2 linked regions of the Lytechinus pictus genome follow. The protein of the gene in region 1 binds, or shares a complex with, the protein of each later gene. Links are inferred from orthologs where the notes say so. Each region holds a gene or a part of one and is shown on either strand. Other genes may lie near its edges. The genes, in order: H/ACA ribonucleoprotein complex subunit 2-like protein and H/ACA ribonucleoprotein complex subunit DKC1-like.

The links.
Region 2: H/ACA ribonucleoprotein complex subunit 2-like protein (region 1) and H/ACA ribonucleoprotein complex subunit DKC1-like share a complex: the UniProt entries of both Drosophila melanogaster proteins name them as parts of the box H/ACA small nucleolar ribonucleoprotein (H/ACA snoRNP) complex. The link is inferred for Lytechinus pictus from reciprocal best matches to the Drosophila melanogaster genes NHP2 and Nop60B.

What each region holds. Positions count from the first base shown.
Region 1 is NC_087256.1:25,663,524-25,679,692, reverse strand, and holds H/ACA ribonucleoprotein complex subunit 2-like protein, read left to right. Parts: upstream 1-6,938; 5' UTR 6,939-7,072; coding exon 7,073-7,235; intron 7,236-9,567; coding exon 9,568-9,637; intron 9,638-10,894; coding exon 10,895-11,000; intron 11,001-11,666; coding exon 11,667-11,792; 3' UTR 11,793-14,259; downstream 14,260-16,169. Other genes in the region: uncharacterized protein LOC129272326, read right to left, coding at 1,662-2,676, 6,613-6,749; pseudouridylate synthase TRUB1-like, read right to left, coding at 15,112-15,266, 15,945-16,001. UniProt on the Drosophila melanogaster protein: Component of the box H/ACA small nucleolar ribonucleoprotein (H/ACA snoRNP) complex, which catalyzes pseudouridylation of rRNA. This involves the isomerization of uridine such that the ribose is subsequently attached to C5, instead of the normal N1.
Region 2 is NC_087260.1:13,286,175-13,303,334, reverse strand, and holds the start of H/ACA ribonucleoprotein complex subunit DKC1-like, read left to right. Parts: upstream 1-5,054; 5' UTR 5,055-5,262; intron 5,263-6,592; 5' UTR 6,593-6,650; coding exon 6,651-6,666; intron 6,667-9,360; coding exon 9,361-9,407; intron 9,408-11,171; coding exon 11,172-11,350; intron 11,351-12,110; coding exon 12,111-12,295; intron 12,296-13,500; coding exon 13,501-13,565; intron 13,566-14,115; coding exon 14,116-14,242; intron 14,243-15,094; coding exon 15,095-15,225; intron 15,226-15,822; coding exon 15,823-15,966; intron 15,967-16,702; coding exon 16,703-16,942; intron 16,943-17,150; exon of another isoform or gene 17,151-17,160. UniProt on the Drosophila melanogaster protein: Catalytic subunit of the box H/ACA small nucleolar ribonucleoprotein (H/ACA snoRNP) complex, which catalyzes pseudouridylation of rRNA. This involves the isomerization of uridine such that the ribose is subsequently attached to C5, instead of the normal N1.

The sequences.
Region 1 (16,169 bases):
GCCCCTTCAATCATTATTAGACTATCGGTACATGTAGAATTGTAGATGGATTCTCGACTGTGTATATAGGCAAAATGTATTGCTTGTCCATTGCCAAATCTGAAAAAATATTGAATAATTCTTAAATTCTATTTGAAAAAAAAAAAAACTTTCCTAATATCTCATCAGATCATCATTTCCATGTATAAATAAACCAAGTTTAATTCTGAATTACATGGTATTTATTGGATCGGTAAGTAATTGTGACGAGCCATGAAAATGAAGTCTACGACCTTTGACCTTGTGACCTGCAAAAATCCATATCAGTTCACTGTTATTCACACATAAATTTGAATTTGATCCTTCACAAACAGTTCTTTACTTTTTGTAAGAACTATTTTCATGAAATAACCCCAATAAGCCCAAATACTTTTTTAATTCAGAACACATAATCTTTTTTGCAGATTAAACATTTATCCAATCTGATGAACAGACATGCCACAAACTGAACGTATGCCTTGAAACAACCAGTAGCCATGGCCTCCATGCCCTCTTCCTTTTCATCAAAGTTAATGCAACTAAAATGTGCCCCCTTTTTAGTATTTGTCCTTTTTCTCACAATTGTAAATACTTTAAAGGGGAAGTTCACCCTGAAGCAAAGTTTGTTGTAAAAACAGCAGAATAATGAAAGATATTGGTGAAGGTTTAAGGAAAATCCATTTAAGATTAAGAAAATCATTAGTATTTTATTAGTTTTGGATTTGTGACATCATAAACAAGCAGCTGCCCCATATCTTATGTAATATATAAAATACCTAAATTTTTAATTTTTTAAAGTTCGTGATGACTTATATTTTTATTTACTTTTTAGGAACGGGTGTGAAATTAATTGTACATGTACATGGAGAGCAAAAACCATTTTCAATATTCTGAGAAAATGATGTTTCATTGATTGTTACAATGTACCATATGATGTAGGAAAGTTGCTTGCATTTGACGTCACAAATCAAATAATTAAAATGCTGATAACTTTTTTACTCTTTGGTGGATTTTTCTAAAACTTTCAACAATATTTTTTTATTATTTCTTCTGCTATTTTTACAATAAACTTCTTTCAGGGTTACATACACCCCTCTAAATTTGCCCCTGATTGAAATGACTTTGCTCCTGAAAAAAATCCCATTTTGAGGGCTGCTGTACAGCCAAATGGCATTGAAAACAAAAACAAATTACATGTAATACATGTAGAGTATTTGTCTCATGCAAGTACATACATGTATGTATATATTGTCATCCAGTAGACCTCCTTCAAATCAAATTCAATGACCTCTTAACCGAAATCATGTATATTTTTTTTATTCTGAAACACGCTGTACTGCCTCTTGATACAAATTCATCACAAAAATAGAAAAATACACAATTACCAATCCATGATTTTATCTTTATAAATAAATGCAAATTATTTCTACCATAAAACCTTCCCATGTTTTTTACATGTATTTCAATAGTCTCCAACTTAAAACTTTTGTCATCTACTTTGGACATATTGACCTCATAAATAAAATCACTTGTAATGTATTCCTTACATGGTATTTTTTCATGTGCATGCTTTTACATAGACTGACATAAATACAATTTGACTAATGAATTGGCAAACCAAGTTATATTTTCAATTCTAGAAATCATGGCATTTCATATTCTTCTGTACGAGTCTCTTGAATGCGTCCATCAGGGAAAAATGTGATTTCTGTGATGCGTCTGAAGATGGCACCGCTTGGGAGCTGGTGCTCAAAGGATTCTGTTTGCCTGTGCGGCTTGCTGCTGCTTGAATTCTCTTCCACCCATCCCGACTTCATAACCTGATCCTGCAGAGGCGAAGATGACCCAGGATAAACAGCTCCCTGCATCCCGTCACTCACAACAACCAACTGCTGGGTATTGGCAACGTCTCCTTGGTTGAGGACCTGTCGAACGGACTTGTTTTCTATGTTAATGACAGGAGAGCTTAAGTTCACTGTGGTTAAGTTGGAGGTGCTCAAGCCTGCAGGGGTCAAGTTGGTCGCAGACAGGTTGGTTGCGGAAAAGCTGGTGGTGCCAACAGCGGTTGCCTTCTTTAATTTCTTTTCCTCGCGCTTTTTCAGGGCTGCTGCAACCGTGTTGCTTTTGGACTTTGGTGCTAATGGACTGACCAGAGGGACTGTTTGCTTGGCGGAACCCCTGTGCACCTGCCCATCGTGACGGTAGAGGTCATGGCGCCTATTGGTGCTGTAGGGACACTTGCTGCACTTGAATCGCTTGCCTTGATGTTGGTCCTGTATGTGCGAGTTCAGTGATTGACGAAGCTTATACCAGGCACCGCACACTTTACATATGAATCCTTGGCCACCATCAACGGAGGCCACACTGGACGACTTGCCATTGAAATCCATTAACTGTGGGCTTCCATCACCCTCCGCACCTGTAGGTGTGTACTGAACATATTTTCCATCTACAAACTTGTATTCTGTATCCCCTGACCCAGGAGTGCCTTCGTTCTGCGATGCTGCTTGGTCTATTCCCTCGACTGATGGGGTACTGGATGTTGACTCGCCCGTCGCTATGGCTTCACTTGTGGTTATAATTGGTGCCAGCCGGACAAAGGTTGGTGGTAGTTCATCGTCAATAGTTATTGAAGCTTCCATCTCACTCCCGTCTTCTCTGCAGAGCAAGAAAATGATGGTTGGAATTGGTCACTCACGTCTCTCATCGTTAATCATTCTCTCAGCTTTTAATCAAGGTTGAGCACTTTGTAACAGGCACATGTAATGATTACCTATTGTACTAGGAGTCTTGTTTATATTGGCCATAACCAGTCCTGACGAATGAGAACAAGAAGATCTCAGAAGTTGCGCTGACTCTTATTCAGTTCCTTTGACTCCATGGCTGACATAATGGCACTATACAATGAAGTAAGCCTACAGTATTCAAGATGATTTGTTGCTTTTCTGTGGATATACATGTATCTTTAATCAATGCTTACAGGTTTTGTACTACAGTATACACAGGAAAGGGATGTATGTAACAATAACAAAACCCAACTACATGTATTTTCATTCACTGACTTGGCAGAAACACACACAAAAAAAGTTTAGCATCAATTGAACAAATGTTTTGTGTGCTACATGTAAAATGGACATATGAATCAGCCAATGTACATGTACATGTAATCAAGTGCATTATCTGCCCCCACAACCAAATGCCAAGCTTGTGTTACTTACAGGCTTACAGCACCCTTAATGAAATTTTTAAAGATTAAAATTCAGAATGACAATTAAAATAAAATAAATGAAAATGAGAAACATTTGCAAATCTTACAATCTTGAATTTCATAGCTGTCATAACATCACAAAATATTTGGTGAGCAGGGGTGAGGAGGGGGGATTGAGGTCACAGAATCTATTTTTAGCACCCTTGATTCCCGTAATTACCGCTTATATCCCGCAGAAGGGAGTGAAAAAAAAATGTTCCCATTAAACAAGGACAATCTCCATCAAGAATTCAAGTCATGATTTGTCTTGGGAACTTTAAGAGGATATCCTTGTTCTCTGGGATGATCCTTATCAATTGATGGACCAATGCATCTACAGCCACAGGCATATGACAAGGACAGTTAAACTAAAGACTAGAAGGCCCGAATTCACAAAGGTGGTTTTGAAAACCCACGGTTGAGTCCATGGTTTATGCAGATTTCCTGTATAAATTACGCTTATTTTACCGCGTACATGTATATTAAAAAATGTCCAATGCTGATGCGCGCTTTTGTCAGTGCGCCAATTTGACGCCTGTTGTCGTGGTTATCCACGCTATTTTATTCATGAGTCCACTGTTTTGAATTAATGAGTCCACTCTTCAAACAGTGGACTCATGCATAAAATAGCATAAAATCTGCATAAACCATGGATTCAACCGTGGGTTTTCAAAACCACCTTTGTGAATTCGGGCCTATGAAATTATTCTTTTGGCTTTTATTGTGAAATAGTCACCACGCAATTCACTGCCGTTATTTCATTAGCGCTGGTTACATCTTTCCACTCCCATATCATGGCATGGCAGTGACTTTGTACAAAACCAGCGCAGACACACACACTGACCATGCTGACACAGGTATTCCCACGATGCCGAGGGTTCACGAGGACGAGCGTCCACAAGGCCGACTTTTCTCTAATCATATATTTTCGTTAATCAGAATGTTTGTCTTCATCAATATTAATCAACGAAGTCGCAACTTATATAGGCAAAAGTGTAAGTTCAAGACCCCAAGTTCAAGGCATGCTATGAAGACTTTTAAGTTAAAGTTTCATTAGTTTTTAATGACAAATTCAGATTGAAACATTCGGAGTGTATCAAAAAATTTACATTCTAATCTTTAAATTATAATCTAAGTCCAGAATTTGACAGTTCAAATTAGTTCAAATGTCATTTTCATAGATCTAGTAAGTTCCTGTTGTTCTTTGAAATTGGTATATTTGGTTTTGTCAATTTATGTTTGTCTTAACCTTGCTGTTTTGAAATGGGATAAAATCTACATTTCCAAGCAAAAAACATAACCGAGAAATAATAACAATAAGAAAATGTTTAAAATGAAAGTTTCAAATTTTTCTAAAGAATAAACAGCTGAAAAAAAGGATTCAACAGCTACATTTCTTAATGATGGGTGAGATGATACTCAAGCATTAATCCTGTTGTCCCGATTTACGAAAGCATCATATTATAACATTATATTCAGTTTTCAATGGCGAAAATGCTAAGCAGAAACTTTTCCACTGATAGAAAAAATCCTCATGAAAGAAAATACACTTGAAGAAAAATCGGCTTCATGGACCTTCGGTCTCATGGGAAAAGTAATCGGCCTCGTGGACCCTCGGACTCTTGGGCCTGCCCCGCTGACACTGTCTATTGTCTGTACTAAGGCTCTGTACATCGACAATGCGACACATGTGCACACACAGAAAGAGTCTAATTTGACGCCGTCATTTATAATTCTTTTTGGAGGAAGGGAGTTCATAACAGAAGGTATATAAAATGTTTTTACTTGTTAACAATTTTAAGATGTTCCTGATTGTCCATTAGTAATCTGAGATATTTATGACTTCAAAGTTCTATTCTGTTTTATTTTTCTTTCTGCGGTTGTCTGAATAATGCGTCATTTATATTTTATAATTTGTTTTGGAGGACGGGAGTTCATAACGAAAGGTATTTAAAATTTGTTTTTACTTGTTAACAATTTTAAAATGTTCCTGATCATCCGTAAGTAATCTGAGATATTTACAACTTCTATTCTATTTTATTTTCCTTTCCACTGCTGTCTACATACTGCATCATTTAGACCTATAATTCTTTTTGGAGAACTGGCTGACTAGAGTTCATAACGGCCACGGCAGGTTTATGAAAGTTATTCTAGCGGTTACTACCTAAAATCAATCGACGGTTTATTCAGGGCTCCACACTAACCCTATTATGCTACTGGCCCAACCTGATCATGTCGGACCAGTAGATAATCAGTTCTACCATTTTTTAATACTGGTCCGAACCTAAAATTTACTGGTCTCCAAAAATAAAGAAAAACATAAAAAAGGCTTTAGTTTATTTTGCCGTCTTTTATTGCTTATTGTTATCCCCCCCCCCCCCAAAAAAAAAACAGTACACAAACACATAATTCATGAGAGCCATTTCTCAATTTTGCAGAACATTTTTAGTGAGACACCAGAGCCATAATTTCTAAAAGAGAAGAAAATATAATTTGTATCAGTAGGGTATAATTTTTACTGATCATTTCGGACCAGTAAATCTTGCCATTTCTGAAAAGTTACTGGCCCCAGCAACAGCAATTTTTACCGGTCTGGCACCGTCGGACCAGTGCTAGTGTCGTGCGTGCGCTGGTTTATTGATATGTGACCATAATGACATTGGGACTTTTTGCCTTTGCGACTTTCTAGGAAAATGATTCTTCGGTCTTCTGCAGATACATTTCTTTTTCGGAAAACAAGACTCAGAGTTCTTTCCCTATTCGCTAGCACGTCAAAACACACTAAAACATGTCCCAACAAAAAATTTAAAATATCCCCAAAACTTTGAGATAATCGACATTAAATCAACAACTTGAAATTCTGATATTTTTTGCCGACATCAATTTTATTTATCATATCATGTTTATTGGCGGCGTGCATCGCCTATCATCATCCATTCTGATCACAATTCACAGCTCTAGTCTGACTTACACTACAGTACACTACACTGCAGGCATACAGCATTAATGCTTTCCATAAATTGGCTTAGCTGCATAGCCATAGTCATTCTAGGCGGCTAGGGCCTAACCTAGGCGGCTAGGGCCTAACGTTAGGCCCTAACGCCGCCCTATGGCTATGGCTATGCTATTGCTATGTCGCGTCGTGACGCGATTTACACATCCGACTTCTTTGCGGAACTTGGAGTTGCCCCGCGAATTGCGTCGTCGATCGCGTGTGACGTGTGTAGGCCACGGAAATTGAAGGCAGAACTTGCCATGCCACACACACATTTTTTTCGGGGGGGTGTCTATTTACCGCTAATTATTTAGGGAAAAAAAACATTATTAAAGTTACACCATACACGAACCTCGATCTATATGATCCTGGAGATGTTTCTGCATTTTCTCCTCCGTCATTCCCCATGCTTGAGTCGTCATTTTGCTGATTCTGAGCTGAAAAACCATCGCTCCCAGGCGCGTCTGTTTCTTTCTGTTCATCCGCCATGCTTGGTAATTAAGAGTTGCCAATTTGATTATTAATTTCGCTTTTATATCTAAGGGTTTTATACAAATAAGTATTTTTCTACTTATAAATATATTATTTTAAAGAAAGAAAATAGCTTCGGGGTGCAAAAGAATAGTTAATGCAATTCTTGAACGACGTTGCAAATTAATATGCGACCTTACAACACAGTAAATGTCACCGGAATCTCTGAAAGCGCCACGCCGCCTCCATCGGCGGCATAGCTTGTACGTATTTTTACGAATCGTATTGCTGTTACGTTGCGGTACAAAACACGTGGACCAATCAACATCATAAGCCTAAAAATGAAGTCACCAGCAGCAGTAAAGAATGGGATTGATCGCGCTGATGATGAAGCTGAAACACAAGAACTCACATATGATGAACTTGTTGCTCGTGTCTCACCCATAGCAAATCCTTTGGCTTCAAGGAAACTCACGAAAAAATTGTACAAAGTCATCAAAAAAGGTGAAATTGGAAATACAGTCCCATTCATTCGAATTTACGTTTGTGTTCATATTTATAAAATTATTTTATGTTTGTAATGTAGCCCACTTACATTGACGAGTGGATACCATGACCATGTGCAACCAAAAAAACACGTGAAAAGGATGTCTTTTTCAAGATAGGGTACGTTACGTAACGTAAACTAAATGGTAATATAAGGGTGTCAAAAACACTAAAATAACAGAAAAAGGGTAGGCCTATCTATTTTTGCTACCTACTAACTACTTCCAGTAGAGGCGCACGGCCAATATTGGAGACTGTCTCCAATGTGGGAGATTATCTCCAATATCAGAGACTTTTGTAAAGAATTTGGGTATCCAATTTCAGAGACAGTCTCCAGTTTTGGAGTCCAATTTCCTTTGTTTACATTTGCTGCAAAAGGATTACCTTGGCGGCAAATTAAAATGTGATAAGCAGATTCCTCATGAAAAATTACCCCTTTTCACCGTCTACTTTAAAAATTCACCGTCTACTTTTATTTTGATAAGGAATTTTGTTGTCAATCACACACAACACAAACAGACAAACGGGCTTCTGACCTCAGTGAGACAAAATTTTGGGTGGAAAAAATCATACTTTTGTTGGTGTTGTTTCTTTTGTCCTTTTGCAAAGCAAGTCTCCAATGTGGGAGATTGTCTCCCCTATTGGAGAGAGTCTCCCATATTGGCCGTGCGCCTCTACTGACTTCACTTTACGTATTTAGGGTCAAATTTGCGATGGTATAAAAATAAAGACTAAATTGTTTTATAAAATTAAAGGATGTACTTTTTGCCCAAAGAGTCAACACTACGTCACTTTACGTGTTTAGAGTACGATTTGCGCGAGGTGTGGGAGGTGAGGCTGTACTAATAAACCCAACGATTGTAGAAGGTAAAACCGACGTCAATGACATAATTAAAAATAAAATATTGCTGTACTTGTTTAGGGGTTACTTATTTACTTGGATGTTGAGACATAAAGCAATATGCTTATGTGCCCCTCGTTGAGTTTCTTATCTTTGGTACAGAAGGTCTGTACTTCAGAGGTTCAATTCAGAGAATACTTGCCAAGAGTATCGTTTTGTTTCCAATACTTAATGTTAAGGGTAGGGTTTCATCACACGCAATTACTTGTTATTGTTAAGGGGTGCATTTTCAGAATATGGAAAATCCGTGTTTACTTAGTTTAGGGTGCTTTTTCGAGACCCCATGGTCGCGCATGGTATCCACTCGTCAATGGAAGTGGCCCTCCTGGGGTTTGTAGATGGCGGTATGAGAGTTGGAATGAGATGAATGCGGTATGCCACTTGGAATGAGAAGAATAAAATTATCACTCTAAACCACATTGTCATTGAGTTAAAAATTTAATCGCCATACTTTTTACATCGAAACAAATACATTCAAAAGTATTGCAGAGACCAGGGGTGGTATTCTGAAAATTGTCTTAACCTTTCTTGTAATTCAGCAAGATAAAACAGCTTGCTAAAATTCTCTTAAATCGGTATTCTGAAAATTGTCTTATCTCTGACTCTGTAAGGACGTCCCCTATTTTATCTCTGACACGCCAAATATTTTATCAACCAATAATTAAACTTTTTATCAGTAGAGGCGCTGGTCAGAAAATTGGGATTTTCCCAGTTAATACTGTTTATACAGATCTGTTTCGGTCAACCAATAGAAGCGTCCTTCTTAAAAAATTGTTAAGTGCATTGTTGACACGCCGCGTAATTTCCTTTGCGCCACCGATGCTTATGCTTGTACACTACTGCGCTAAAATACATGTGGCTTTTCCCAGAGTCATATTTTCTTTGAAAAGGACCATCATCTCGAATGCCAATTTTCAATTGCTGAAGAGTCTAACAATCCGTAGTTATAACTTCTTTGGAATGTCTCCTTTTGTAAAACATGATGTTCTTGTGGGATGCAGCAAGAAATTATTATTGTTGACTGAGAAGTATCGCATTCAACATTAAGTTACAATAGCCCCGTACCTCTTGTAAATTTTCTTGTATTTTTGCAAGGAAGTCATCAGAACGCAAAGATAAGAGAATTTTCAGAATACCTTTTACATACGGTATATCTCAAAATGTTATCTTGCGCACAAAGATATTTAGGCGCCTCATTACGCATCATTATAGCTCTGACATACGCGCTCAGTGAAAGTTACAAGAAAAGATACAAGAATTTTCAGAATACGGATTTTATTATACTGTAACTCCAGAGATACAAGAATATTTCTCTTAAACAATTTTCGGAATACGGCCCCAGATTTTTCTTTGGTTTCATTTTAATATATTTATGGTTTTTCTTCCCAGCTAGTAAAGTCAAGATGGTCAGACGTGGGGTAAAAGAAGTTCAGAAGTTTCTACGCAAGGGAGAGAAAGGGTATGTATTTTTTTTATTGAATTGTCCTTGATTCAATTTACTGGTGAACAGAATGGCAAATATTAAAGTGCCAATCCTCATTTCTTGAGATTGGACCCATTTTCTTTTTGCGACAGTGGACATGGGATGGGGTTGTCTGCTTAAAAACATTGTTTGGTAATTCTTTAGGGAATGCATTTCGTCCCAAATGTGGTTGGTGTTTATCCGTCTTCCACAAGTAATTACTCGCAACTTGTCTCACAGGGGCCAGGCTGCAGTTTTACAAGCTTGCTTTTAAGATTACTTGCTTTCAGTTAGGTCCCATCATATTTCTTTGACTTAAATGAAGCTTTTCCCTTATAACTGGACTGATTGTATTATGTTATATGTATTCTGTTATTTGTAAACTTCTGTTTTCTATAATTTATGCATTATTGATGCTGCTTTTTTATGTGAATCAAATGTCAATTAGAATTATGATGGAATGAAGTATTAATAGATAACTTTTACCTCAACATGTATTAAAGTACTTTAAAAAGGAAACATATTGTACAGGTACTTCTATCAAAGTCAAGTATATTGGGACTGCATTGATCAGTTGAACTTTATAAATTTAGAATAAATAGACTTGGCCAAATCATTTTGAATTGAATTGAAAGTGGGATTAAAATTGACTTGAAAACAATCCCACCAATGTGGTGTAGAATATGCTAGTACTTAAAGGTTTTGAGCCTTTAATTCAAGGCAATTGTCCAACATATTTGATGATGTAAAGTTTCATGTTAACCTATTTTGGTTGGTGATATGGAAATATATTGAGAAGTCCATTTGAATCAATTACTATTTAGGATATATTTTCAAACTCAAGACCGGTGTGTTGGCTCAGTTGGCAGAGTGTCCGTCTCACAACCGGGAGGTCGGGGGTTCAAACCCTGGCCACGTCAGACCAAAATATATTAAAAGATGGGAGTTGCTGCTACCCTGATTGGCGTTCAACGAATAAAGGGATAGCGCCTCGTCGATCTCGCGTTGCACAGCGGCTGCCTGGCCCACGATCAATTGGGCAAAGCGAATTTTCGGAGTATTTCATGTCTATTTTGAACAAAATATGGATTTTCATATCCTCTTTCGTGTTGAAAATGAATAAATAATACACTACCCCCACCCCTTTCACCCTCTCTCCTAATGCTGTCTTCTGCTCTCTCTTTCTTGCCACCTTCTCTATCTCTCTCCCTCTCCATTTTCCCTGTACTCTACTTCCCTCCCTTTTTCTCTCAGTTTCGTGGTATTTGCTGGAGATGTAACACCCATTGAAGTTATGTGTCATTTGCCCGGTGTCTGCGAAGACCTGGATATGCCCTATGCCTATGTACCTTCAAAATCTGTAAGTATAGATCTGTTACTGTTTATATTACGAGAAAACAAGTTTAGAATATTGAATGAGCATAATAGTGAGTTCAAATTCTTTATGGACTCTAGAAGAAGTTTTGACATTGTTCTACCTTGTTGTGATATCCGTGTCACGATGAGTCCACATTTTGAGTGGACCCTAGAACATGGTTTACTTTACAGGGCAAAATTACACATAGTGTGGGATAGTTCATCAATGAGAATACTCCATTCTGTATGAAAGAAAACTTGCACATATGATTTTGATTAAGAAACTTCTTACACACACACACACACTTGCAATCAAATTCATGTGTAGAAATAAAAGGAATTTGCAATTGTGAATATCAGTTCTAACTTTACAATTGATTACATACAAGAGCTGACTCCATAATTTATCATGAAAAAAGCAGACCAGCTATTGATGAAAAATAATCAAGAATGCCGCTTTTCAGACTTAATCAACTTATTTTCAACCATAGAAAACACATTATTGTGTGTGTATGATCATTCGTGAGGATATTCAGACTTTTTTTTATGAATTCAAAGTGGCATCTCTGGAAAAATTTGATGTGCATTGGAAAAATTGATCACAAGTTTCTTTTCATGTCCAACTTTCACTTGTTGATTCTCACGGTCGATAAATTGTTTCATTCTTTAGGACTTGGGAGCTTCAAGCGGGGCAAAGAGGGCGACATGCTGCATCCTAGTGAAGAAGCATGCAGACTATGAAGACAGCTACAAGGAATGCCATAATCTAGTGAAGGCTCTACCCCCTCCAATCTGAGAAGAGAAGACATTCTGGTCATAATATAGGACTCGACAGATAGAACTATCAAGAAATCATGGACTCATTCCAAGCTGATCTCATTGAGATAAAATTTGTGGAATCATGATAGGATAACATTGAAGCAAAGTCTGATCATTTGAGAGAATTCATAAAAGTAGCAAAATGGAAAGGACTTATTTATATTTTCATGGTCATTAAGCTGGACTCCATCATTCATGTTCCATTCACGCCCCCGTCACATAAAAGTTACTACTTTGATAACTTTACCATCCGATGGTAACTACCATGGTAATAACGCTGATCAAGAGCCAATCAAAATCAAGGATTCAATGCAAGTTACAATTGGTTGGCAAAGTTACAATAATGGTAACTTTTCTGCAACGGTGCCCAGGTGTTAAAATGACTTAACAACTTACTCTGCCTAAATCATTTGCAACCACAGAAATCTGTTCGACATGGGAGAAATTTGACTTCGAAGAGGTATTATACACATGTATTGAATAATCTGGGTCCCGTCACACAAAGCTTAGCAATTAATCGTACGCTTGATTTTCACGATTGATTGTACATTATAGTCAATGGAATCAATCGTAGATAAATGTTGTACGATCATTGCTTATCGTGTGTTACGGGCCCCAGGTCTAAAAGTTACTTCAAATTGAGCAAATATTCATCTTATGGAAGGTCGACTTAGGGAGTTACCTGTCCTCGTATTTTGCAGAACAGCTGATGCTTTCATATGCCACAGTCACACAAACGAAACCGATCCCTAAATGACCAATGATATGTCATGGGAAATGATGTATATAAGCTTAGGTCGGTCCGGATTAGTTTCGCTGGTGTCACTGGGGCTTCAGAGTAAATTTTTTTGTTGTAAGTCTGTGGTGCCTTCAACATGTTGACTACTGAAACCAGTTCGTCTGTGTAGATTGTCTATGGGCATAAAAGAATTTAGTAGTCAACAGGTTCACAATTCTGAACCACATTAAAAAGCGTCTTTACGCAGGAAATCCAAGATCCTACTCAGCGTCGTCTTTATTACTTCTTCCATTCTCCATAGACAAAACAATGGGACAAGGAAAGCCATAGTGAAATTATTGTACTGTATATGATCACTTAACCATTTTCTGGTCTTGAATTTTACTTTATAGGGTGTATTATGTATATGGAAACACCTTTTGTATGACATTTACTTCTTATCAATATTTTTGTTCTAATAAAAGATGTAACATATGTACATGTAAATAAAAGCCTGACTGGTCTCTGTTTTTTTATTTTTATCTATTGTAAAGAAATTACAGCAGAATCAGTAGTATTACTTGTATTTATATTTTTTATTTGAATTATGTCAGTAGAGGGGTATATAAACTGTTCTTCATAATTCCGAAAATTCAAATCTATCCATCAATAATAATTGTAATACACATGGATGAGAATCCCTTCGGCATTTAGCGTTGATTATTTTCCATCAAGCAGGTTTTAACCATTTTGTTGATTAATAAAGAGCTCTGTTGGGTGTGAAGTATTATTTTCAGGTGAGATGTACAATATACTTGGATTTGGTTGAGGCATTATGATTTTTAGAACCTGTAAGTGTCTGTGTCGCTGCTTATTTTGATATGCAATATCAAAATGGCAAGAAAAGGTGAGCTAGTCCAGGGGCCTGATTCATAAAGGACTAGCAACTGTTGTAACTTTGCCATTATGACAACGACCATGGTAACATGGCTCAGCAGCCAATCAAAATCAAGGTTACCATGGTAGTTGCCATAGTGGCAAAGATACAACAGTTGAACTCTTTATGAAACGGGGTCCCTGGTCATCAACCTGCCATATTTTATGGTATGTATTTATAAAGCCATGCATAAATTACATATAGCGCAATGGAGTGCCCTCTATGACTGAAAACAAGTGAAGGTTCAAGAAAAGCAAATTTCCATGTTAAAATGAAATACAGTGACAAATATTTTGGGTACCAGTAAACTCCCTTTGTAAAGGAATGGCAAGCTTTATTCAGCACCATTGCATGTATTGAAGCACACAAATGTGCCAAAAATAGCTGTATTAAAGGACAAGTCCACACCAACAAAAAGTTGATTTGAATAAAAAGAGAAAAATCGAACAAGAATAACACTGACAATTTTATCAAAATCGGATGTAAAATAAGAAAGTTATGACATTTTTATTTTTCTCTTAATTTCACAAAACAGTTATATTCACATCCTGGTCGGTATGCAAATGAGGGAACCGATGACATCACTATCTCTTTTGTATTTTATTATTTGAAATATTCCAATTTCTCCCTGTTATACTGTGGAAAAAAGTTTAATTCCTCCCTGAACATGTCGAATTACCATTGTTTTAACATTTTATGGTTTAGTCAAGTTGGTCCTTATTGTCAGATCTGTAAAAATTGAAATATTATATAATTCAAACAATAAAAAGAAGATAAGTGAGTGAGGGACATCATTTGCATGTCACTGAGTTGTGCATATAATTGTTTTGTGAAAAATAAGCGAAACTTTAAATTGTCGTAACTTTCTTATTTTACATCTGATTTTTTTCAAATTTTCTGCGTTATGCTTGTTTGATTTTTATCTTTTGATTACAATACCCTAAATTCTGTGACATAATTCAATGGAATAATAAGAATGAAGTATAAAAGAAAGGGAAAGAGATGGATTTCAAGTGAGAAAGAGTAACAAAGGGAGGTAGAATCTGGGAAAGAGAGTGATCGGCAGTTACGAAGGAGGGGACCTGGATAACATACACAAAATAGAGAAAGTGAGGAATAGATTAAGAGACGAGGAATTTGCGAGTAAATGAGGGATAAAAAAGGAGAAATAATCAGTGAAGGAAACTGTTATAATTCTATTTTTCAATAGTAGTAGCAAAATAAATGAAAAATACAGAACAATGAAGTCAATGAAATAAATCAAAATTGAAAAAAAAAGTTTAAAATTACAAAATCCTTTTAAAAATTATTTTCAAAGTACAGGTGTATCTACATTGTTTCGGAAATGCAAATAAGTGAGTCGATGCCCACAGGAGGAAGTCCCTTTTCCTTCATATACATAACATTACAAATGTTTTGGTTTTTTTCTAAAAAGTTGAGCTTGACAAGAACACTTCAGCTTGGCATATAAAACGTCCGACATGTCCTATCATGAAACGCTCTCCTGGACCATTCAAAGATTGCACGAAAGGTGTAAATTTATTACCAGAAGACGTCTCTCGTTCAGTCTGCTCTCATAAGTGGTTGGCAAACTGCAAGTGTTACAGTCCTGTTTAGAGTCCATACATTGTTTGGGCTTGGTCACCTAACACCCGGATCCATGGTATGAAATTCATCAAGGGCTTTTACTATATCCTCCAATGTCCATTTCTCTTCTGGCAATGCATGCTGGTCTAGCTGAAAGCAACCTTGGTTCGTCCGACACAACCCCGTCATGAATGCACAGGTTCCGAGACCTGAAGAAAAAGAAAATGTTGGATTCTCGATTTATGGTTAACATTCCACCTCGCCTTGTACTACCGTTATTCTACTACTTTAAAAAAAAAAAAGGCCCATGTCTTGGAGGCAATTGATACAACAGGGGCAACATGGACAAAAACATAAGAAATAACCATTTCATTGTGCTTTTTCATTGTCCAGAATCCCCCCCCCCCTCTCCCCTCCTTTCAGAGTAATTCAGTGGCCCCTGCAAAACTATGTGCAGTTTCTATGTATAGTTTCTTTCCTTATTATTATTCTTTCATAAAAGTAGAGAATTAGGACTCTATGGTTCAATGAAACTTAAAATTCAACTTCATCCTTTTTGGGGGCGTTTTCTTCTTTCAAATATAACACAGTATGACATAAATAAACAGATAACTGGATTGAAAAGAGGATGATGCAAAAAAATGTATACAAGATAATATACAATGGTGCTCAAAAATTACTGACCCTACCAGAAAATGACGAGATTTTAAGTGTTCAAGCTCTGCCATGTTTTTTATATTTAATTGTGAAGTCAGGTGATAGAATACTACATTCAATAAGGTCGGTTACTCTGGGGTCAGCATGAAGGAGTGTATTATGTGGTGGGGGTTCACTCACTTTTTAGCATAACGTTATAATGATAAAAGTTAATACACTAGTATACTTACTCTTTCCAATATCATGGATTAGTTTTCTCACATAGAATCCTCCCCCGCAATGGACTTCTAATCAAGAATAAAAGGTAAAAAAAATGTTATTACTAATTTGATGGAATGTATGTAAAGCTCTTACAGTAAAATACAATAATGGAACACAGTCAAAATCCTAATTTCAAATACAAATTCATTTTATTCTAAATAATCATCAATTGTACATTTATATATAGAAGTATC
Region 2 (17,160 bases), on another chromosome or scaffold:
TGCTCAATATGGAGCTTAAAATATCAAATTTTGAAGTCAATATACAACACATATTTCAGCTCGGAAATTGAACTCTCATTATTTTGTTTGATTTACAAATTGATTTTTAAAAAGGGCTCTGTAAAAATGTCTGTTTTATCTGAATATTAACATTTTCTGCTTGCGCTGCGCTCGCAAAATTTTATTTGTCAGTTACCTATGATTTTTTCTGTATTCCATAAAGTTATCAAAATATCCCTATTCAGCTCAGTCAGATTGTCAAAACGTATCAGCTCGCGCTGCACGCTCATTTTGATTGGTTATATAGTTATGTATATCTCAATATTAATTCTAAAACAAACTACTTAAAATCCCCGTTTATCATAAATTTCGGCTACCGATTTCCACTCGCATTGATTATTGAAAGATATTAACTAATGCATCTTATTCATAATTACAAAAGTGCTTTAAATTAATGTCCAGTTTTCAGGCCATACTATTAACAGATTTTGTGCTCTGTAAAAATGCTAGTCCCGGTCCGGTCCCATGTCAAAACTCAAAGTAAAAATAATGAAACATATCAGCTCTTTTTAAACTGTGATCCATATCCACGGTACCTCACAATTTCCCTACAAAGTGCTTGAAATACAGAGTTTAAATTGACCCTTTTTCAGATCGGAATATCATATATTTTTAGCTCGCGCTTTGCGCTCACTTTATTGATTTTCATAATAAGAAAGGTATTTAGAATACCCAAATTCTAGGTCAAAATCTGAAACACGCGTTTCACGTTTCTTCAGAAACGCAGCTAGTTCTCTATTTAAATCATTATCCAGTTTCAGATCACAGTATCAAAAATTGTCTGCATGCTCGCGCTTTGCGCTCGCATTATTAATGTAGGAAACTTTCCAATTAGGCCTACTCATCCTTTTCATGATTTACAAAACATGAATAGAGTGTCCAGAATTTTTCCGCTCGCGCTTTGCGCTCGCATCAATTGTTTAGTTATATACTTATCCTTTTCACGATTACAAAAAGTGCTTAGAATTTCAATTTTTCAGGTAGATATGTCAAAATTTTCAGATCGCTCTAAAAATATGTAACATCTTCATGGCTATAAAGCAGCCGTTAACAGATCCTTTTTTTGATCAGATCAAAACGTATATTAAAAAAAAAAAAAAAAAATTATGTTCGCGCTTTGCGCTCGCATTATTAATATAGGAAGATTTCCAATTACTCATCCTTTTCATGATTTACAAAATATGAATCGAGTGTCCCATTTTTAGGTTTAATCTAGATTTTTTCAGCTCGTGCTTTGTGCTCGCATCAATTATTTAGTTATATACTTATCGTTTTTCATTCTTCAGGTAAAAATGTCAAAATTTTCAGCTCGCGCTTCACGCTCGCATTATTTGATAGTTGAAATATGTAACGTCTTCGTGGCTAAGAAGCTGCCGTTAACAGATCCTTTTTTTATCAGATCAAAACGCATATATTAAAAATTTCTGCTCGCGCTTCGCGCTCGCACTTTTTAAATAAGGCTTATGATATTATATGAATGTATATACATATATAAAGCTTAGAAGTGACCATTAGGACTACTCGTCAAAGAAACAAACAAAAATTAACTTCGAGCGGCAGATCGGGGAAAATGTGGCTGAAAAAAAATTCCGCCCCCCTATTGGCGAAGGCTGGATCCGCCCCTGACATATGTATATATTCCATAGAGATATATATCTCTATGATATATTCAGAAAACTGATATGAAATCTGTGGCGTACAGATGGGGGGCTTGGGGCGCTTGCCCCCAATTTTCCACGACCAAGAAAAAAGGAAGAGAAAAGGAAAGAGACCGGGGAAAGAGAGAAGGGTGAAACTAATGGCTTAATAGATTAGGCCCTACATGTATAGGTCGACATGTAGGCCTATTTTGACAATATATATATATATCACAATGAAAATCGGCTATTTGGGAAACAATGTCTAAATTTTTGCTAGCTTGCTTCGCTTGCTCGCAATTTGTTATAATTTTATCTGATACATCATATCGATCTGGCCACTCAAATATTTATACTTACGCTACTGTTATTATTTTGTGCCGTATTTCACAAACAGGCTTTCTGAAGTCCTGAATAATATCGGTGGATCAATGTTATTGAAAATATAGAGCGTACAGGTATGTGGAAACTGAAACTTTTACCCAATGTAGGGATACAGGTAAAGTTAATTGCCCTATAAACAGAAACACCTTACCACCATGTCACAAAAGGTTATAGGTAATGATTTTATATTTTTATCATCCTTGGGTATGAACGAATATGCAACATTTAAGAGGGACATTTTGGGCTTAAAATTCACTAAGATCATACATATTTCAATGATGCGAGCGCGAAGCGCGAGCTGAAAATTTTTGATAATAGAACAGAAAAAGGGACATTTTAAGGACTGTTTTCAGTTAGGAATTCATGAAGAGCAGAATATCTCACCAATCCACTAATGCGAACGTAAGCCTAGACTGTGCATGTTTTTTTATGTGTATATAGACCTTAAAAGGGGGAATCACTTCAAGTATAGTCATGATATGTCACTATTATACACATGGGCGGAAATCCCAGGGGGGACAGGGGGGACGTGTCCCCCCTACCAAAAATAGTAGGGGGGACACAATATCAAATGTCCCCCCTACTATTTTTGGTCTTTTATGATGGAAAAAAATGCATCATTCACATTCGAAATAATACATGTCTTTTGAACTAAATGACCTTACATTTTGGGTGAAAACTTTTTTTTTGCTTGTCAAATTTTCCAGAGTGAATAAAATAAGATGAGGGGAAGACTTGGAAAATAAAAAGAATCTTTCATGTCACTATATAAAATTTTCGGTCGCGCTTCGCGCTCGCATTGCCTGTTAGGTGATTGTTCAACATGGATCTTAAATATCAAGTTTGGAAGTCAATATACATTACACATTTCACCTCGGAAATCGAACTTTCATTATTTTGTGTGATTAACAAACTGATTTTTAAAAGGTGCTCTGTTAAAATGATAGCTTTATGGTCTGAATATTGAAATTTTCTGCTCGTGCTGAGCGCTCGCAAATTTCGATTTATTAAGTACCTATTATTTTGCGCTCGCATTAATGGTAAAATTTTTTTTTTAACTGATGCATTCTATTCAGAATTACAAAAGTGCTTGAAATGTCCAGTTTTCAGGCCATAATATCATCAGATTCCCCCCCCCCTCATTAGGCATTAATAAATAAGATATTAATTTAATGATTAAATTGTCCCTTTTGTTTCATCTCGCGCTTAGCAAGAGGGATAGTAAGATAGTCATCATTTTCATATGACATGTCCTAAGGATGTCCCAGTCCTATGTCAAATCTCAAATAATAATGAAAAATATCAGCTCTTTATTAAGTACGATCCATATCCACCTCACGATTTTCCTACAAAGTGCTTGAAATAAATAGCTGAAATTAACTTTTTTTTTCAGATTGGAATATCATATATTTTAAGCTCGCGCTTCGCGCTCGCTCTGATTTTTCATAATAAAAGATGTGTAGAATGCCTAGATTCTAGGTCTGAATATGAAACACGCCCGCGCATGTTTATTCAGATACTCAACTTGTTCTATATTTAAATCGTTATCCAGTTTCAGATCACAATATCAAAAACTCTGCTCGCGCTTTGTGCTCGCATTATTAATGTAGGAAGATCCCCTATTACTCATTCTTTTCATGATTTACAAAACATGAATAGAGTGTGTCGTTTTTAGGTCTAAATCTCGATTTTTTTTTCCGCTCGCGCTTCGCGCTCGCATCAATTGTTTAATTATATGCCTATCTGTTTGAATTACAAAAAGTGCTTAGAATTTTCATTCCTTAGGTAAAAATGTCAAAAAATTTCAACTCGCGCTTCGCACTCGCATTATTTAATTGTTGAAATATGTAACGTCTTCATGGCTAACTACAAGCAGTCTGTAACAGGTACCTTATCCATCAGTTCATTTCTGCTAGCGCTTCACGTTCGTAGTAATTATTCATTTACATACACATCTTTTTCAGGATAGCAAACATTGCCCAGAATGTTCAAAATTTTAGGAAAAAATACATAAAACCCCCCCCCCCCTAAACAAAACCAAAAAAAAATTTGCTCGCGCTTCGCGCTCGCATTATATAAATATTGATTATGATATTATATATTTATGTTGATTTATAAGAATAAAGCTAAAAAGTGACCACGAAGACTACCCCTTTAATGAAACAAACAAAAATCATCATCGAGCGGCCAATCGGGGATTAAAATATGGCTGAACCCCCCCCCCTATTGGCGAAGGCTGGATCCGCCCCTGTGGTCCCCCCTACCTTTCGGGACAGATTTCCGCCCATGATTATACATAAAACAATAATAACTGTAAGTGCCGGGAAATATTTGGTGTATATTAATTGACTTGAAAACGAAATGTTTTAGTAGAACAGGACTATGTATCTCATTAAACAGATAATGCGAGCACCAGGAAGGCCAGGCTCTAATAATTATGTTTCATAAAGGATGAAAAAAAAGTAATATAATATATATAAATAAATATAATATAATACAATATGATATGATATGATAATGATATAATATAATACAATATAATATGATATACTATAATATAATATAATATAATAGAATAGAATAGAATAGAATAGAATAGAATAGAATAGAATATAATATAATATAATATAATATAATATAATATAATATAATATAATATAATATAATATAATATAATATAATATAATATAATATAATATAATATAATATAATATAATATAATACAATACAATACAATACAATACAATAATATACTATATTATATTTTGGATCAAAAATTTATCCTCTGGTCATTGGCTCAAAGAGCTTCACGTGATTATGTGTATTTTCAACTATTTTGGAATGTTGGCAGCTAGGCATACTATTTGGGAAAATTACGTCATTTTTGTGACGTAATTTCCCCAAATAGTAAAACTATTTGGGGAAATGACGTCACGGCGCCATACGCCTGATGCGCGTGATATCAAAATCACCAACATTCAGCGGGGTATACGAGAGCTCGAGTGCTTACCATGGGCGACTCTCGCGACGTGGCGACTACGTTTTTTAATGTTTAGACTACAGTTTATGCTTTGACTTTTTCAGACATTTTCATTGACTATTAAAACTTGGATTTCATTAAAATTTGATATTATTTAAGAAAAGAGCACAAGACCATCAGAGTGACAAGAGAGGATAAAAGGTAAGCCATTATTCTGTTTTTTCCTTTTGTTTAAAATTTTTAATCCAAAATATAAAACAAATATACTCTGCCATAATTTCGAGTTTCTGGTTAAAACTATGGGCCTCGGTGCCTCCAATAGTACCATTCACTTCGGGGCTGCGCCCCTCAGTGAATAGTACTATTCTGGAGTCACCTCTTGCCCATAGTTTTAACCAGAAACTCTCAAGGCAAAGTATATTTGTATACTATACTATACTATACTATACTATACTATACTATACTATAATATAATATAATATAATATAATATAATATAATATAATATAATATAATATAATATAATATAATATAATATAATATAATATAATATAATATAATATAATATAATATAATATAATATAATATAGTATAATATACAATAATTTCTTCTCCCCCACTACGTTTCTCTTTCTTTCTCCCTCCTTTTCTCCTTTTTTGGCCAGCTTGGGGGGGGGGGGGGTGCACGTGCCCCCGCGTAGTTACTCCACTGCGTAACGGTATGCATGCCGTGAGGAGTTGTGGGGGGAAGGGGGTAAAAAAGGTGTATTATCACTTGGTCTAATGCCAAATCGTCCATAAATATACCAACTCGTCTACTAGCTATCATTTGGTCTACCATCAGTTCGTCCACTATCTGCATTGGTCTAATTGCCATTTTGTTCACTCACCATTTCGTCTAATAACCAATTGGTCCAATCAGTAGTGGACCGTGACCCGGAGGAGACTAAGCATTGGAGGGGCACTGTATTGTTTGTGAACAATGTTGTGCCCCTCCAATGCTTTGTCTCCTCCGGGTCACGGTCCGCCACTGGGTCCAATAGCCAAAATAATAGTCCATATACCATTTTGTCTAATTGGAATATATAACGATGTTAATTGCACGAAATGAAAGAAAATTAAATGGATTTTAGACCAAATGGTTAAACGAAATGGTCAGACGATCTAGTGATGATTGGACCAAATGTTTTTTGGACCGAATGGTTGTTATAGGAGAAATGTTGATGGACAGAATGGCATTAGAGTAGACTAAATGAAGTTAGACCATGTGATGAGTGGACGATTGTGTTGCAATAGACGAATTGGCAATTTATATACCGTAAAAAGGTTGAGTGATAATACATTACACAAATCATAGAAGATTATGAATATAGATTTAGAGAAATAAGGTAATAATTTTCACGAGGAATTAAAGTATATCATTCATAAAAGAATCTGCTATCAAATTACCCCCCAAAAAAAAACAAGGAAAAGAAAAGGAAATAAAATAAAATAGAAACTACCATGTATTCTTTCATCACCGATATTTCTAGCCCGCAGCTTCAATTCGATGATCACGCCCTCTCCGTTGAAGTGCACTAGAGGGTAAACATGGATGGGAGTGCAGGTGAATATTCAATTAAAAATGCCTTAAATTGTTATTCATTGTATGATATACGAATTACTATAGTTGTTTGATGTGATTCAACATTATCATGAATTGTGTATGAGTTCTGTTGTTGAAGTATGTTGTATAAATTGTTGCGAGTGGGTTTTGGTGATCAACGTGGACGTGAAAAACGGTCGACCACGCGCACGTGGCTTCGTGAGTACCCGCTGCGCTGCATGGCTCAATTTGGATGGGCCAGCGGAGCGGGCGGGGACTGCATAAACTGGTGGACTGTTTGGTATAATGCTGTTGATTAACAATTGCGGGCACAATTGCATGGTGATACAATACTGAACATGCTGAAAGCACATTAATTTTCTGAATTTCTTGCCAGCCCCACACCTCCATTTAACTATTTTAAGTTAATTTTGTCATTTTTTTGCCAATTTAGGTTTCTTTTTACCAATTAAAAAATAGTCACTAGCACTTTTTAGCAGTAGAGCACAACGAACAATTGTCCATAGACTGTGTACAACGGATAGATCGTCTCCGCACAGCGATTCGAAGACCGCTGATTGGTCAATCGCGCAGACCACGTCATGACCACTTGGTCCCAAAAATAATTCCTTCGGACTGTGTGCCGAAGTATCGATAGCGATAACGATATCCGGTCACGTTGTGTACACGGAAAATGGACTTGGTCCGTGATCGGATCACTCCGGTATCGATCGAAAATTATCGAAACTCTGCAATTTCATGCATATTCACGCGACGCTCCGAAACCCGGAAGCCAATTGACTTTGAGTACGTTGCGATAGACTCTACAAATTCCAATGAACACAATGACATACAGACGCTAATTCGTAAGATTTTGACGGAAAAGCAAGAAGTAATCGAAATTCACTTACCTGTGTGGTATGGGTGAGAAAATAGATCCTCCGAAAATACCTTTCATAATTCATATAAAATATAGGAAAGTGAAATTCTAGGCCGATTTTGCTAGGAGGTGATAGAGAATTGCACACTTGTTTTGGTGGAATACTGTGTGGGGAAATGGAAGGCTTGCACTGCGCATGCTTACTATATTTTCATTCATAAATTGGCTCTCGGCAGTGGCTGGATGACGTCATGTAATAAGCAAAAATGTACACGACCGCTACGTTCACGCTCCGCTATCCGTTGTACACAATTGTTCGCTGTGTAGAGGTGCACGGCCAATATTATTTGGAGACTGTCTCCAATGTGGGAGATTATCTCCAATATCAGAGACTTTTGTAAAGAATTTGGGTATCCAATTTCCAGATTTCAGAGACAGTCTCCAGTTTTGGAGTCCAATTTCCTTTGTTTACATTTGCTGCAAAAGGATTAACTTGGCGGCAAATAAAAATGTGATAGGCCTAAGCAGATTCCTCATAAAAAATTACCCCTTTTCACCGTCTACTTTGAAAATTCACCGTCTACTTTTGTTTTGATAAGGATTTTTGTTGTCAATCACACACAAAACAAATGGGCTTCTGACCTCAGTGAGACAAAATTTTGGGTTGAAAAAATCATGCTTTTGTTGGTGTTGTTTCTTTTGTCCTTTTGCAAAGCAAGTCTCCAATGTGGGAGATTGTCTCCCCTATTGGAGAGAGTCTCCCATATTGGCCGTGCGCCTCTACTGACTAGTAATTAGTAAGATTTGTCCAAGTTTGTGCTGAATGATGAGCCCAAAATGGTCCATGTTTTGTCCCCTTTTTCAACACAAATTTGACAGTTCGTGATTATATTTTGTTAAAAGTTTGGATGTGAAAGAGTATATTCTGGTCAGTGGAATCATGTTCATGTATGTTTTACAAACCTGTAATCTCTGTTTGAAATATTACTGAGAAAAACTGAAAATGTTTGGAATAAGAAATGCTTATATTTTAATGAAAAGTTCATGATTTTTCACATTCATTTTCAATAGAAAAAATCACTGAAATTTTGCTTGTTTAAAAAAACCGACAGTTTATCCTGATTTTGAAAGAAACACATCGAAATATTTCCCATTGACTCTGTGTGGCACAAACAGCCAAGCTCCGCACAGCTCACGGCAGCGATTCGGAGACCGCTGATTAGTTCATCGCGCAGATCACTTCATGGTCACGTGGCCAAAAAAATAATTTGGCCGAAAAAATATTCAAAGTATCGATAGTGATAAATAATGATATCCAGCCTCGTTTTCCGCACTTGCAATTGTCTTGGCTCGTGATCCGATCGCTGAAGTATCGTTTGAAAATCATCAAGATTTGACAATTTCTTTCTTGTGCGATTGTAAATTGAAGCCTAATGTTTGCATTAATTTCAATTGCTAACATGGCTAACTGCAGTTCATATTGTAATTGGAGAAAACAAAGTCCATTCGAGACGCGGGAGTTTGATGAAGTATAAAACTTAAAGCAGGAATATTTTGAGCTGTTTTTGATCTTCGGGCATTGGTATAGGCCTTATTCTACAGAAATATATTGGGAAAGCTAATGCCATGCAACATCTTCATTTGAGAAGGGTTAGTGCTTCTGCTAATAAAAATGGGAAAGGTTGAATGTTAGAGAAAGTCTCTCATGAACTAAGTACGCACTGGTTTCGTGTCAACATAAATCATGAGGTGAACTATCCACCAAATTTGTGCTGTGATTGTTTGTGTATTGTTTAAACAGATTTTGTAAAAATTTTCTTTTTCTCTTTAATAAGGATCAAGCAAGAAGAGTAAAAAGAGCAAGGAGTCCAAATCACTTGGGGTAAGACATTTTTATTACGCTACCTGTTTTCCCCAACCCTTCCTTTCTCTAAAAATCCCACAAGAATTTGACAACTTCTGATCATTGTAACAAATATGATTCAGACTTTTTTTTTATAATTGAGTGAAATACAATTTAGACTTTGACTGTTGCATCAATTACATTTACCTATTAAATTAAAAATGAAACTAAATTCATCAATACTGAATGTACCTTGGGTAAAGTGAGTGGATGATGAAACATCTATTATGAAGAGAAAGTGATAAATTTAAACTCAAATTTCATGGAGTTGAAAATGGTAATTAATATTGTTTGATGAGAAGAAATTTTGACATTGTGGTATGTAGGGTGCACCTCCAAGATTATTATCATTATTAAAATTTTTTTTTTTTATAATACATGCAGTCAAACTGGCACTCTGCTCTTGAATTTATATAATTTGATTTAATTGATAATTTTTACTTTTTTGAATATACTCTGTACTTGAATTTATATAATTTGATTTAATTGATAATTTTTTACTTTTTGTCTCACCTGCATAGCAGAGTGAGACTATAGGCGCCGCTTTTCTGACGGCGACGGCGGCGGCGGCGTCAACACCAAATCTTAACCTGAGGTTAAGTTTTTGAAATGACAGCATAACTTAGAAAGTATACGGACCTAGTTCATGAAACTTGGCCATAAGGTTAATCAAGTATTACTGAACATCCTGCCTGAGTTTCATGTCACATGACCAAGGTCAAAGGTCATTTAGGGTCAATGAACTTAGACCATGTTGGGGGAATCAACATCAAAATCTTAACCTAAGGTTAAGTTTTTGAAATGTCATCATAACTTAGAAAATATATGGACCTAGTTCATGAAACTTATACATAAGGTTAATCAAGTATCACTGAACATCCTGCATGAGTTTCACGTCACATGACCAAGGTCAAAGGTCATTTAGGGTCAATGAACTTTGGCCGAATTGGGGGTATCTGTTGAATTACCATCATAACTTTGAAAGTTTATGGATCTGATTCATGAAACTTGGACATAATAGTAATCAAGTATTACTGAACATCCTGTGCAAGTTTCAGGTCACATGATCAAGGTCAAAGGTCATTTAGGGTCAATGAACTTTGGCCAAATTGGGGTATTTGTTGAATTACAGCCATAAATTTGAAAGTGTGTTGGTCTAGTTCATAAAACTTGGACATAAGAGTAATCAAGTATCACTGAACATCCTGTGCGAGTTTCAGGTCACATGATCAAGGTCAAAGGTCATGTAAGGTCAAAGAACTTTGGCCACGTTGGGGGTATTTGTTGAATTGCCATCATATCTCTATAAGTGTATTGGTCTAGTTCATAAAACGTGGAAATAAGAGTAACCAAGTATCACTGAACATCTTGTGCGAGTTATAGTAGTTTTCAAAATCAGCACTGCTGCTATATTGAATCGCGTGATGCAGGTGAGACGGCCAGAGGCATTCCACTTGTTTGAATATACGATTACTATTGTTGATGGTTTAAAAAAGGTTGAAGTCACTAGTCATGTCAATATGGAAAATATTGTTCCAAACTCAGTAGTCCAGAGTAAAAAACTGTGAAGTTTACTCAGTAAGCCAGAGTCACTAACTGTGAAGTTTACTTTTTTCCCAGGTAGTTACACCTGTATGTAGAATTGAAGTTGTCACAAAACTTTGAATCATTTTAAATTACTTAGCATCTGAAGATGAATTGTTCATCAATCTTATGTCAATAAATTCATCTCTCTTATTATAGGATATTCAGCATGAAGCAGATTTCCTGATCAAACCGGAATCGGCCGTAGCCAAACTCGAGACGGCCCACTGGCCCTTGCTTCTAAAGAACTATGATAAATTAAACATCAGAACGGGGCATTATACACCATTACCCAATGGTTGCTCACCCCTCAAAAGGGAAATCAAGGATTATGTCTCGTGAGTATGCTATCTTGGACTTTTTTAAGGAATGACTTGCTAACGAGTTTTTAAGATCTTCCTACAGTAACCTATCATTGAAAAAGGTTGGTTTGCGCTTCAGAAAATGTCTCTAGCTCCATGGATGATTGTGTACATCGTACAGCTTTTGGTATCACTCATTCACTTTGTCCTGAAAAGGATTATGGGTATGAGAGTGAGAGAAGCAACTTTGGGGTAAAAGTTGGGTAGAAGTTGAGCAAAGAAAAGAGTTATTCTTAAATATTTTTACACAACATTACTCATCAAATTGGCAAAGAAGAGTTATGTGGTAAAAACACTAATTCAGGTTGTTTGAATGGGGAAAAAAAAGCAAACAACAAGCAAAAGAGAAAACCTGACTTCTTTTCTGGATGGGTCGTGATCAGGTCTTGCATAGTCCAAGGTTACAGAGGCTATTACTATGGGTGTCCTTTCCTGCCCTAAAAATCTCTCCTTCACTGTTCTAATGAAGGTAATTTCACAGGCAAAAAAAATCACTTACTTATTTTCGGGGGTTACTTTTCACAATGAATTGCCCAATTCTCCAATGTTGGATAAGCTTAACATTGCAGCAAATGTGGAATTTGGGGGTCTTTTGCTATTGTCCAGGGCTATTTTTTAGTATTGAGCCCCCTGGATGATTGTGATATTTGACTTATCTATTCACATTTTTCCACTTATACTGACTGAAAGGTAATCATATTTTCATGAATTATTGAATTTCATTTAAAATTTTCAGGAGTGGTTTTATCAACCTTGACAAGCCCGCCAATCCTTCATCTCATGAGGTCGTGTCGTGGATCAAGAAGATTCTCCGTGTCGAGAAGACGGGTCACAGTGGGACCCTTGACCCCAAGGTCACCGGTTGCCTCATTGTCTGTATAGAACGAGCCACACGATTGGTCAAATCACAGCAGAGTGCAGGTAGGATTAATTATCATTTTCGTCCCAACTGTCTAAATTTATCAGAAACGTCTTATCTTTGGTGAAAGGAAAAAAGATATATCAATTTGATTATTTTGTATTCTCTTGTATACATGTAAATATGTGGGATGATCTTGAATTGTATGTAGAAAATCAGAAATGTTGCTTTTTCTCTATTTTAGTTCTTTTTTTCAGCTTTCAGGATTTACACATTACTTTTATAATGAAGATTAACATCCATAGAAAGTAAAAGGTTTATGCAACCCTAAATTGTCTAATGGTGAAACATTAGAAATTCTGAAAAAAATGTGATGTACTTATTGTATTCTGTATTAAAAGATGTAATGTTAATGTCATATTTTGGTTTGTTTTCTTTTTCTGGGCACTGTCTTACAAGAGTTGTGATTGATCTGATCAATCTTAACTGGAAAATCATTGATTTCATGATTCTTCATATCGATGAGGCATTTGAACTATAGATCCTTTGTAAACAAGAGAAGCAATGTTGGTTGGACCAGTGTGCAATCTGTACTGCAAAAATCAGGTCAGGATGCACATGCATTAAATTCGATAGTGCTTCTGAATTTCCCTATTTGTGATTGGTCATGTCAATCAAAGCATCTTGTAAGACAAGGTCCCCTGATCAGAGCTGCCAAGTAGTACGATTTTTCCGTATTTAGTACGTTTTTGCAACCAAAATACGGCAGTACGTTCTTTCTTTAAAAAATACGTTTTTTGTATTTAATTTTTGTATTTAATTTTTTTTTTTTTACAAAATCGAAATTTATTGAGAAAAATCATCTCTATATGTCTCTATTTCATAAAACGTACACAAATATGGTTATTAGATCAATGTGATTTCAGGTAACTTGTTTTTTTTTTTCAATCATTTTGTAAAAACCAGGGTGAGATATACACAAGTTTCAATGTTTTTTTTTTTTTCATCTGCAAGAGCAGTGCACATTTTAGCTTGCATGCAGCTTTAGCGCCGTGATGGGCTAGTGCGCCAAGCATTTTATTATGAAATACACTTTTTTGGGGAAAAATACAAAATATTTATCTCACACGGTAAAAATACTGATTTTTTTGTCAAAATACTGATTTTGGGGGATAAGAATACTGAAAATGCAAAATACAACTTGGCAGCTCTGCCTGATCATTAAGCACCTGTATTGACATGATATGCCTTGTCTCTCTGTCCATAGGCAAGGAATATGTCTGCATTGTCAGGTTACATGAAGCTATTGAAAACCAGTCAAAACTAGCCAAGGTGAGATATATCGGTTGTTATTCTCATACAATTTTGATTAAGGTCAATCCTAGGTGAACTTTATCCTTTTATGGAATGCTTGTTGCCGCTTACTCAAGTTATTGAATTGAACTAAATATTTTTGTAATCTTGCATGGAAAAACTATCTAAGATATGAAAAAAGGAATAAAAAGGTTGGGAAATTTAAGTTTGAAACAAATTTAAATTAATTATTTGGTAGATATATTTTTGGCAATAATATTGTTTGAAAGATGAATTCTGGCTTTTGATGGAAGTGTGGACTTAAGTTCTAGTTGAGTATGGAGCTAGTCTTATTTATGGGGATACAATCCATTGAATGTGTCATTATTCAAAAGTACCAAGATTTTGCACAGCAGAGATACAAGCATTTTGTTAGCCTCTTTTGTTTCGTATCAAATATTTTAATTCTCATTATGAAACTTCTTTATACATTTCAATTGAACTGTAGATTGAGAATGTGTGTGTGTTATTATCACAATATGCTTTGTTCAAATTGATAATTTAATCTTTGAATTTTATTTCTGTAAAGGCTATTGAGACACTGACAGGAGCACTGTTCCAGAGACCGCCTTTAATATCGGCCGTCAAACGACAACTTAGAGTGAGAACGATATACGAGAGCAAACTCCTTGAATACGACCCACAAAGACATTTAGGTAGGTGGAAAGCTTAAACAATCCCCGAGAGTGATATGCTCTTCAGTTTCACCTCCAATACTAGAGCATTTCATTGAAAAATATAGTGATTTCAATTGACTATTATTTTTAATAGCTACTACAAATCCTTGCATCTGATACGCAAAGAGTATATTAGTCAGGAAAAATCCTCTGGTGATGGTGAATTTCTGAAACATAATATTACAAGGTCTGAGGGGATGTTGCGAGAAACATATTTGTGATCAAGTGTGGATGTCAATTGAAAATTCCCGATAGATCAGTTACAACCAAACCAGATAACTTTTTATTTAAGGAGCAGAATGGCAATTAATTGCACGTTTTAAATAAATTGTATGACTTGTGATTGATTTTTGTACCTAAAATTCACTCAGATTTGTCAGATTTTGCGATGTCCTTTTTGACGTAGGAAAATACATGCAATAAGCATCTTTGTGAACAAAGTGAAAAAAAAAAATTGCTGGAGTTATCAATGATGAAAAGGAGCACCGAGTGTAGCGGTTCTGACTCTCGCCTTGTAATTAGAGGGTCGTGTGTCGAATCCCACCATGGCCTATTGTCCTTTGGCAATGTGTCAATCCACACTTTGCCACTCTCACCCAAGTGCTAATTGGGTACCGGTAGGAAACAACCGTCATTGTGGTTGGTTTAGCAAATGTGCGCCCTAACAGGCTGCTTGAAATGCTATGAATCCAGTGACCAGATAATAATAATTGTGAAGTGCCTTGAGCAGTCGTAGATTGATAAGCGCATACAAATGCCAATTATTATTATATAAAATCTTACCATAGTATGAATGCTTACTCTACTTTTCCATCGTTTGGCTTATGACAGGTATTTTCTGGGTGAGCTGTGAAGCTGGAACTTACATCAGGACACTATGCGTTCATCTTGGACTCCTGTTAGGGGTCGGAGGTCAAATGGCAGAACTCAGGAGAGTGCGATCCGGTATTCAGTCAGAAAAGGTTAGTGGGCTATTTTTATTTCCAATGTTACTATAGGGAGCTCTAAATTTGAAACACAACTCCTGGGGCATGCTTATTGAGCAATAAGTGTAGCTATTCACATGCATTAGACAACTGCTCTCATTCTTCATTTTTCATGACTGTTTTTTTGTCAAATTCATGTCCTTGCATATCTATGGCACATTCCCAAGAGGTGAACATCGTAAGCGATAGATTAGGTCATCGTAACACTTGGGAGTACACTGTTTGCAACTTCTGAGATCATTTTATAGTGCTCCGCTCGTTTGAACTGCATCCTCATTAAGTTTGAATTCAAGTCTGCAAATCTGTCATTTTGGACTTTCAATCTTCATATTATTTTGTCCATTCTTATTTACTTTGAGAACTGCTCAAGTCATAGTAATTTGATAGTAATACATACAACCTTTCATATAAACAAGAATATAATGTATAAACAGAGAGAGATTACTTCAGGACGTTTCCACATATAGACGGTCGGACCTACATAATTGATAGCATTGCGGTATCGCCCAAGTTGCACTTTATGAAAGCGGAATATCATCATCTCTTGTCTTGTCAATGTTTTTGTATCCTCAGGAAGGGTTGGTGACGATGCACGATGTCATGGATGCCCAGTGGGTTCACGACAACCATAAAGATGAAGGTTACCTCAGGAGAGTCATCAAGCCGATGGAAGCCTTGCTTACGGGTCACAAGAGAATAGTACTCAAAGACAGCTCAGTAAGTTGGTCATAATAATAATAATATACCATGCTTTGAGAAAGTATAGAGGAAATTATTCATCCTCGGATTGTCTGGCAATTTCTATTTTTCCAGCCCATCAGAGGATTAATAATTCCCAATATACTTTTGAAAACAATGCCTGGTTTATTTGTTGTATCCACAGTTTACTTAGACTTATAGAGGAATAAACTTACACTGGGGCTCGGGGCATTCTCACCCTCTAAATCCAGTCGAGGTGGATCCTTCCCCAAATGACCAACCTGGACACAAATTTAGATCCAGCGCTGTACTTGCCAATCTAAATGCACTTATTTGCCTACTGTTATGTTCAACCGCTGCACTCAAATTTATAAGTGTTTGCGCTGTCACATCATAAATGTCACCTGGTAAAGAAAGAGAATATTTGAAAATTGTAGATGGCAAATTTTCTTTTATTTACTTAGATGAGTATGTATTTTCATGGGGCAATTTTAAATATAAAGGGGTATTAAAGCATCCCTCTCATGCACGCCTGGCTCCACCACTGATAGGTCATAAGTTTTTATTGCTTCAGTTAGGCTATAAACTTGCCTTCGGTGAAAGCACCATGTCCTTTCAATCTTTTCTGGTCTCTATATGGAGGCATCAAATCTCTTCAAATAAGTCTCAGCCGCTCAGAGGCAATTCGCAATTTACTGGTATATTGTGATAGTGATTATTATACTTTGTTTTCACTGCCCATTTCTCTCCTCAGGTGAATTCTGTCTGCTACGGTGCCAAGGTCATGCTTCCCGGCGTCCTCCGCTTCGAGGACGGCATCGAGATCAACTCGGAGGTGGTGCTGATGACCACCAAGGGAGAGGCCATTGCTCTTGGCATCGCATTGATGACCACAGCGACCATGGCAACAGTTGACCATGGCCTGGTGGTCAAGCTGAAGAGGGTCATCATGGAGAGGGACGTGTACCCCAGAAAGTGGGGCCTCGGGCCAAAGGTATGTTCTGGCATGTTAATGTTGGCCGTATTTGATGCTGTCTCGCTATTTGTCATGTGATGGTCATATTCAAGCATTGCATTTCTTTTCACAATGGTTCTTTGATGATTCTGTTGGAGGAATTTGCAGAATTTTTGCATAAAATTTGTGTGAAGCAACTAACGATATCCTCATTGGTAACTGATTTGTATTTTTGTACTTCTTACTTGGGCAATGAT